Linked DNA regions of Macaca fascicularis. The protein of the gene in region 1 binds, or shares a complex with, the protein of each later gene. Links are inferred from orthologs where the notes say so. Each region holds a gene or a part of one and is shown in the gene's direction. Other genes may lie near its edges. The genes, in order: VEGFC and KDR.

Region 1 (3,823 bases):
TTGAGGGAAAACATACAAAGGAAGATGCTTTTAGAAGCTTTTGTTTCATGCCACACCCAGAACCAAGTGAGGTATAGTAAAGATGCTCTGACTGTTTGTCTAGACTCAACAGATGGATTCCATGACATCTGTGGACCAAACAAGGAACTGGATGAAGAGACCTGTCAGTGTGTCTGCAGAGCGGGGCTTCGGCCTGCCAGCTGTGGACCCCACAAAGAACTAGACAGAAACTCATGCCAGTGTGTCTGTAAAAACAAACTCTTCCCCAGCCAATGTGGGGCCAACCGAGAATTTGATGACAACACGTGCCAGTGTGTATGTAAAAGAACCTGCCCCAGAAATCTCCCCCTAAATCCTGGAAAATGTGCCTGTGAATGTACAGAAAGTCCACAGAAATGCTTGTTAAAAGGAAAGAAGTTCCAACACCAAACATGCAGGTAAGAGATCCTCATGAAGAGTTTTAATTTCTCTTACTAGAAATATGTTCTAAACTAAAAACTGTTTTCTTAACCAAAGTAGCAATTGCTTGTTAGAATGAGGCCAATAAGTTCTGAAAGATAAAATCTTATTTTTTTTTAACCAATGCATGAGACTGAATTTGCTTCCAAAAAAAGCAAGATGGGAGCCTTGAGGATAAAACTAAATCCAAGTTCCGAATATACTCTAGATTAGTGGCTCCTGTGGGATGTTTTCAAAATACATCCAGGCAATCCACTCCACCCCCACCAAAAAGTATAATGCTTTCAGACATCACTTAGGACAACTGTTCTAAATGCAGACAATTTTTACGCAAAACTTACAAACAAAGGATAGGATAGTACCATTGACTATAGAATTATACCTGGAAATGAAAAGATTTAAGCTAAGTATTTGATAGAATTAGAGAAATAAATGAATATATTGTTAAAGGTACCCAAGCCTCATTTCTTAAACTTGGTTTTGCACTCTTCTCCACCAAGAAAAAAAAAAAAATGAAGTTACTGGACTCAAGCACATTCAGTGTTAATCCCTGAACCTCTTCCTCTTTAATCTCAGAGAATAAGGTGATCCTACTATTTAAGCCAGACCTGTGCATTTGACATTTTCTCCACATTCCTTCAACATTGCTTCATGCCATTCCTTCTTTCTTCTATAACTTCAACATCTTCAGCTCTACTTTTTTCCCCCTCAGTTTATAAAAGTTCCCAAATTTCTTCTATTTTATTAGCCTGTTACTGTGAAGCTGAGCATACTTTAGCAACCGAGCTCTGTCCTCTTCAAAGCTGCTCAAAAATGAGGCATTTGTTTTCACCTCTTTCATCTGCCATGTATTCAACCAACTATAACCTGGTTTATGGCCTACGGTGCTATGTTAAACCTCTGTTTAAAGTTTCATTGGCCTCACAGTTACCAAATCCAACAGATAATTTTGTCCTTAGGTAACCTGTCCTTTCCATGGCCTTTTTCTTCCAGCCCACCTCTTCTATGATGTGACATTGTACTTTCCTACTTGTATACTAAATTTTCAGAGCATTTGTTCTTAATCACTTTCACTCTTTTACATCCACTCTTTACATATGGGAAGATAATGTTCTTTTTAGCAAAAAAAGCTCGTATTCCATTTATTTACTACTATCTTCACTAATGTTCATTATTGTTTTTTCACAGTATATAACGAGTTCATCGTTTTATTCTCAAGAGTTTTGTGTCTTTATTGTAATGTATGTTTTTGATTATTTTCCTCAACTAATATTTCACCTACTGCATAAAATGGCTTTAGTGAATCTAGCTATCTCATTGATTATATTTTTCTTCCCTTATACTGCAAAGTACATCGTAAGTATTTCTTTTTTAGAAAGAACTATATTCCAATTTTACCTACATATTCCTACTGTAATAACCAAAAAGATATTTCAAAAATGTATATGCTAGTATTTTCAGAAGGATACAGACAATCTTTTTAAGCCTTATTAAACTATGTTTTATATTGAATTCTTGAGTGAGTTTAGTATACATTGAAAAATCTGAAATTCCTATGTCTGCATACAGACTAACCAGCTGTCATACTTTTCTACAGAATTCTTATATGAACACAGACAATATTTCTATCATTGCATTTCTCCTAATAGTATACATTCTTTCAAAAAGGCTTTCTGTTTACTGCAACTCATCCTATGTTCATTTTTCTAAGTGTGTAATTCCAGACTTTGTGATATAAATTGGAGCAAAAGAGAAAATATCATATTTTGAAAATTTATATTCTCCTCATTCTCTCTTAATATTTATTACAAAGTGCAGTGGGCAGAGTATATATTCTTTGGTTCATGGCCTTAATTAACAGCTTTTATGGATCATTAAGTATCATATCCCTTTTTAGTAGAGGAATACCAGTAGTCACAACTATGAATTCGCATTTGCAAAGTTTAAAAAAATTAACTAGACATGCTTTCTTTTCTAGAGCCAAATAAATGAAATATGAAAACCAAATTGTGTAGGGATTTTTGTAGCACACTTTCGATTTCCACCTCAGGTCATCTTGCACGTTTCCCTTTACACCTATTCCCGCACATTAGGCATGCTCATACTCCAAAAAGTTTTTCAAAAATAGCTCCAATTCTCACCAGGCGTGTTGACTCACACCTGTAATCCTAGCACTTTGGGAGGCCAAGGCGGGCAGATCACTTGAGGCCAGGAGTTCAAGACCAGCCCAGCCAACATGGCAAAACCTTGGCTCTACAAAAAATACAGAAAGTTAGCCAGGCATGGCCGCACATGCCTGTAATCCCAGCTACTCAAGAGGCTGAGACACAAGAATGACTTGAGCCCAGGAGGCGGAGGTTGCAGTAAGCCGAGATCGCACCACTGCATTCCAGCCTGGGCAACAGAACGAGACTCTATTTCAAAAACTGAGGTCTCAATTCACTGGAGCAACGGGGCAGGGGACAGATTGACCAGTTGGTGATTTGTCTTCTCTCTGCTACTAGAACCCGGCAGTCTAGGATGGGAGGAAGGGGACCCTACTGCTGAGTATTGTCCCTCTTACCTCCCTGCCCCAGAATGCCTCTGTTTCACCTGGAGCCCAGGTGGAAAGGAAGAGTTAGCCACCATCATGCAGCCAGCTGCCAAGTAGAGACACAAGAGTGAGGGTGGGGCTGCTCACTGAGGACCACAGTTCTGCCAACATGGCTGGTTTAATTGCCTGGAAGTCTGGGTCCCATACAAGTCCCAGACTCATGTGAATTCAGCCATGCTTATGTGATCACAGTAAGTCAGCAGACCTTCAATGTTCACTTTCAAAATTTCTGTTTTATGTTTCTTTCATCCATGAAGCAAAGAGCACTTCAAAGGAACTAATGCTTACAATACCTCCTCCTTCCTTCCATTTGTTATATCACCAAGCAAGACTTTTATTTTAAGGCCTTTCCATTCCTCTGAAATGTTGTCATTCTAAGCAGAAACAAACTTTTATAAATCTATGAACAATTGCATCATAAAATTAGTAATTTTGTTCTAGTCTGAAATATAAAAACACTGAAATACCTTGGTAGCATAATGAATCCACTGCCTTGATCTTTAACATAAGTGTGTTCTTTTTTGTTCTCCTAGCTGTTACAGACGGCCATGTACGAACCGCCAGAAGCCTTGTGAGCCAGGATTTTCATATAGTGAAGAAGTGTGTCGTTGTGTCCCTTCATATTGGAAAAGACCACATATGAGCTAAGACTGCACTGTTTTCCAGTTCATCGATTTTCTATTATGGAAAACTGTTGCCACAGGAGAACTGTCTGTGAACAGAGAGACCCTTGTGGGTCCGTGCTAACAAAGACAAAAGTCTGTGTTTCCT
Region 2 (3,823 bases), about 100 Mb from region 1:
TAACGAAATAGTTTTGACTTTGGAGTCAAAAAAGAAAGAAAGGAAAAAGGGAGAGAAGAAAGAAGGAAGTGAGAGAAGGGAGAAGGAAGAAAGGGGAAGAGGGAAAGGGAGTGGAGAGGGAGGGAGGGAGGAAGAGGGAGAGGGAATGAAAGACTCAGATGGTGGTGGCAGTAATGCATTCTCTAAAGATTTATGCCTTCCTTTAACATGAGGTGGTTTACGTGTTTGGGTTCAGAAGTCAGAGTGTCTAGGTTTGTTCCAGGTTTTGCCGTTTGTTAACGGAGTGACCTTGGGCAAGTCATTTTTTTCTGTATTTCATTTTTTCTCGTGTATAAAGCTGAGGATAGTAATAGTGGTTGTGAGGATTAAGTGAATGAATTCATGCAAAGCACTTCAAACAATGCTTGGCACATAATAAATATATTTACTGTGCTATTTCAGCTATTTTCTGTAGCCTTCCCCTGATCTCGTGAACTTGAGAGGGCAGAGAGAACTATCTCTGTAATGCAGATGAGAGGCACAGGATTCCAACACTTGCATAAAGTCATTCAGCTTGTTAGTTTATTAGCTTATTGCCATTTTTATTTTATTTTGTTATTTTATTCAATTTCTTTTTTTTTTTTTGGTAGAGGTGGGGTCTCACCATGTGGCCCAGGCTGGTCTTGATCTCCTGGGATTAAGTGATCCACCTACCTTGCCCTCCCAAAATACTGAGATTACAGGCATGAGCCCCCATGCCTGGCTAGTTGTTATTTTTATGAGTATCACTAGAACTCAGGTCTCTTGTTTCCACATCTAAGTGTTCTTCAAAAAAGGAAGTGGAAGCAAAATCATATGCTTAAAGAAAGTCAGCTTTAGTTGCTGAAATCCTCTATTTCCCATTCTTCAAAGCTGATTGACAATTCAAAGGTCGTTTTTCCTATCTTCAGTCCCACCCCAGATTGGTGAGAAATCTCTGATCTCTCCTGTGGATTCCTACCAGTACGGCACCACTCAAACGCTGACGTGTACGGTCTACGCTATTCCTCCCCCGCATCACATCCACTGGTATTGGCAGTTGGAGGAAGAGTGCCCCAACGAGCCCAGGTGAGTAAGGCCACACGCTCTTTGCTTTCCTGCCGTCTTGCATTTCTTACAGCTGAACTATGATATGACTCCATCCTAAATGGAGAAGCCTAAACCGAAGAAAGTTTTCTCTCAAGAGGTAGCCTGAATCTCCATCCATCTTTCTCTATGTCTTACATTTTAAGGGATGTCTTTGCTTGGAGTATCCTACTTTGGGATAAGCTAAGCTCAGCCTTGTTAGGTTATCCCTGAGGTACACTTCTCCAAACACAGGCTATTTGCTCAGTTTGCTAATTGCCAGTCTTTGGTTTTTTTCCCAATACCAATCAACTGGTGAATATCACATCGCTCCTTCTTGTCTGTGTGAAGATCCATCTCTCAGAGGAAATGCTGATAGATGAGAGGCAGTGATAGACCCAGCCCCAGTCCTCAGGGTCTCAGGCCCAGCTTATCATGCTCTGACACATGTCCAGACATCCTTAGGGAAAAACACAACAGCAGCAGCCAACCCACTACCACCCTAAGCAGTCCACTTCCTGTTGTTGTTTTTGAAATGGCCACTACGAGCTTCTTCCTCAGCTGCTGATCATTTCCTTCACAGAGACTATGGTCCCAGAGAAATTACTTTAAGGAGCCCAGTGGTTTCTAAGTTTCCTTGCCTTCCTTTGAACTAAATTAACTTGAATTGTCTTGTCGATCCAATTTATGAATGAAGGTTTGTTCCCAGAATAGCTGCTTCCCTCCCGTATCCTGAATGAATCTACCTAGAGCCTTTTCCTTCGTAGTCAATGCCTATTTTTAATTGGCGCCAAGTCTTGTACCGTGGTAGGCTGCATTGGAAGTTATTTCTAAGAACAGAATAACCAAAGTCTGAATCTTTTCCTTACTCTTGACTAGAATTAAAGAAAAATTAAATCATAATATGCTCTGTTATCTCTTTCTTATAGCCAAGCTGTCTCAGTGACAAACCCATACCCTTGTGAAGAATGGAGAAGTGTGGAGGACTTCCAGGGAGGAAATAAAATTGAAGTCAATAAAAATCAATTTGCTCTAATTGAAGGAAAAAACAAAGTGAGTTTGAAGTTTTAAAATTTGAAAATCTCTCTTTAACGGAAGGATGCTACAATAATATGTGAAGTATATTGGAGATTAATAATCAAATAGTCTAGGTGATAAAATAATAGCATATTAAGTCACTTTGAAAATACCATAGACTTTTAGCCATACCATTAACTTATTAATAGCTTATTAGAGAAAAATAAAAAGTCTATGACATTAAATCTATGCATCTGTGTAGGGTGATTCTAATTTTATAAGCATGAGAATGAAAAAATGTGTATCATATATTAAAACACATCAATAGTTTCATGGTTTCCAAAGCCCTTTTTATATAATGTGTAAGCTGCACAGCAGCATAATTATACAAATTGAGTAAGTATCCCAAACCTGAAAACCCCAAATCCAAAATGCTTCAAATTCTGAACCTTTTGAGTGCCGACCTGATGCTCAAAGGAAATGCTTGTTTGGATTTTGGATTTTGGATTTTCAGATTAGAGATGCTCAACTGTTAAGTATACAATGCAAATATTCCAAAATCAAGAAAAATCCAAAATCCAAAACACTTTTGGTCCCAAGCATTTTGAATAAGGGATACTCAACCTGTAATTGCATAAATTCAAAAGTGTCCAATCACTGCGGAAGTGGGAATGGCATAGGCAGGTTGGAGTGATTGTGGAGACTGCTGGACTGAGTACTTGTGCACAAACAAGCTGCACTGTTTATGGCCTGAGATTTGTTTTTCCCCCTACAGACTGTAAGTACCCTTGTTATCCAAGCGGCAAATGTGTCAGCTTTGTACAAATGTGAAGCGGTCAACAAAGTCGGGAGAGGAGAGAGGGTGATCTCCTTCCATGTTACCAGTAAGTACTCTTCTCTGGAGGGTTGGGTTGGATCACTCACACAGTGGGTACTAAGCTGTGTAATTCCTGTTGTTTTTGCCATTCATGTGAGTGGCATGGCATTGAGGAAAGAGGATTTGGATTGATCATTGATGCTTTCATTCATAAATTAAAACTCCTCAGGTATCTCCTGGGCTTAAGTCAGTGCTTCTAACTTCACCGCAGAGAGAATGGTTTCACAGATGCTTTAAACCACAAGCTCTGTGTCATTATTTACATCTCAGTCTTCAGAGTCTAGCACAGTGCATGGCTTATTGAGCTTCAGTACATATTGGTGGGCTTGCTGTGGAGCAGTTGATAAGGGTGGGCTTTCTGGAGGCAATCAGAATGACATCGGAGCAGTGCCCTCCCAATGCTGCTGATTCTGCCTGTGCATCTTAGTTTGATGGATAAGCTTTAGCTGATTGTGCTGAATGGAATATTATAGTCAGGGCTAATTCATTGGCATAAATGTAGCTGTCATATCATTGAGTGTTAGTGTTAATGAAGACCTAATTTTTAAAATTCTGTTAGGATTAGAGATTTTGCTTTGGATTTTTAAAATATTAAACATTGCGTAGAGTTCACAGTGGAGATGTGGTAAATATCTGAGGAATTCATTTACATTTTCAAGTAATATGTTTTAGCCAAATAAGATATTTTGGAACCTGAATTGTCTAGTTTGTTTGTCAAGTTGTAGTACATCACCTGGAACTGATAGAGCTTCATTTCTTTTGGTACTTTGTAGTAGTCTGAAAGCAGCAAGATGATAGTGAGCTATACCAAGTTAAATCACCATTCAGTAACAATGGTCTTTACAT

Evidence for each region.
Region 2: the proteins of VEGFC (region 1) and KDR are in contact, whole or in part, in a crystal structure (PDB 2X1W), measured with the Homo sapiens proteins. The link is inferred for Macaca fascicularis from reciprocal best matches to the Homo sapiens genes VEGFC and KDR. Residues at the interface, in NP_005420.1 of Homo sapiens: Thr148, Asn149, Phe151, Lys153, Phe186, Ile188, Val190, Pro191, Leu192, Gln194, Pro196; in NP_002244.1 of Homo sapiens: Val135, Tyr137, Ile215, Val216, Val217, Val218, Asn253, Val254, Gly255, Ile256, Asp257, Phe258, Asn274, Arg275, Asp276, Phe288, Leu289, Ser310, Ser311, Gly312.

The regions. Positions count from the first base shown.
Region 1 is NC_088379.1:181,466,980-181,470,802, reverse strand, and holds part of VEGFC (vascular endothelial growth factor C), read left to right. Parts: intron 1-103; coding exon 104-437; intron 438-3,585; coding exon 3,586-3,700; 3' UTR 3,701-3,823. UniProt on the Homo sapiens protein: Growth factor active in angiogenesis, and endothelial cell growth, stimulating their proliferation and migration and also has effects on the permeability of blood vessels.
Region 2 is NC_088379.1:78,789,923-78,793,745, forward strand, and holds part of KDR (vascular endothelial growth factor receptor 2), read left to right. Parts: intron 1-929; coding exon 930-1,086; intron 1,087-2,012; coding exon 2,013-2,136; intron 2,137-2,875; coding exon 2,876-2,984; intron 2,985-3,823. UniProt on the Homo sapiens protein: Tyrosine-protein kinase that acts as a cell-surface receptor for VEGFA, VEGFC and VEGFD. Plays an essential role in the regulation of angiogenesis, vascular development, vascular permeability, and embryonic hematopoiesis.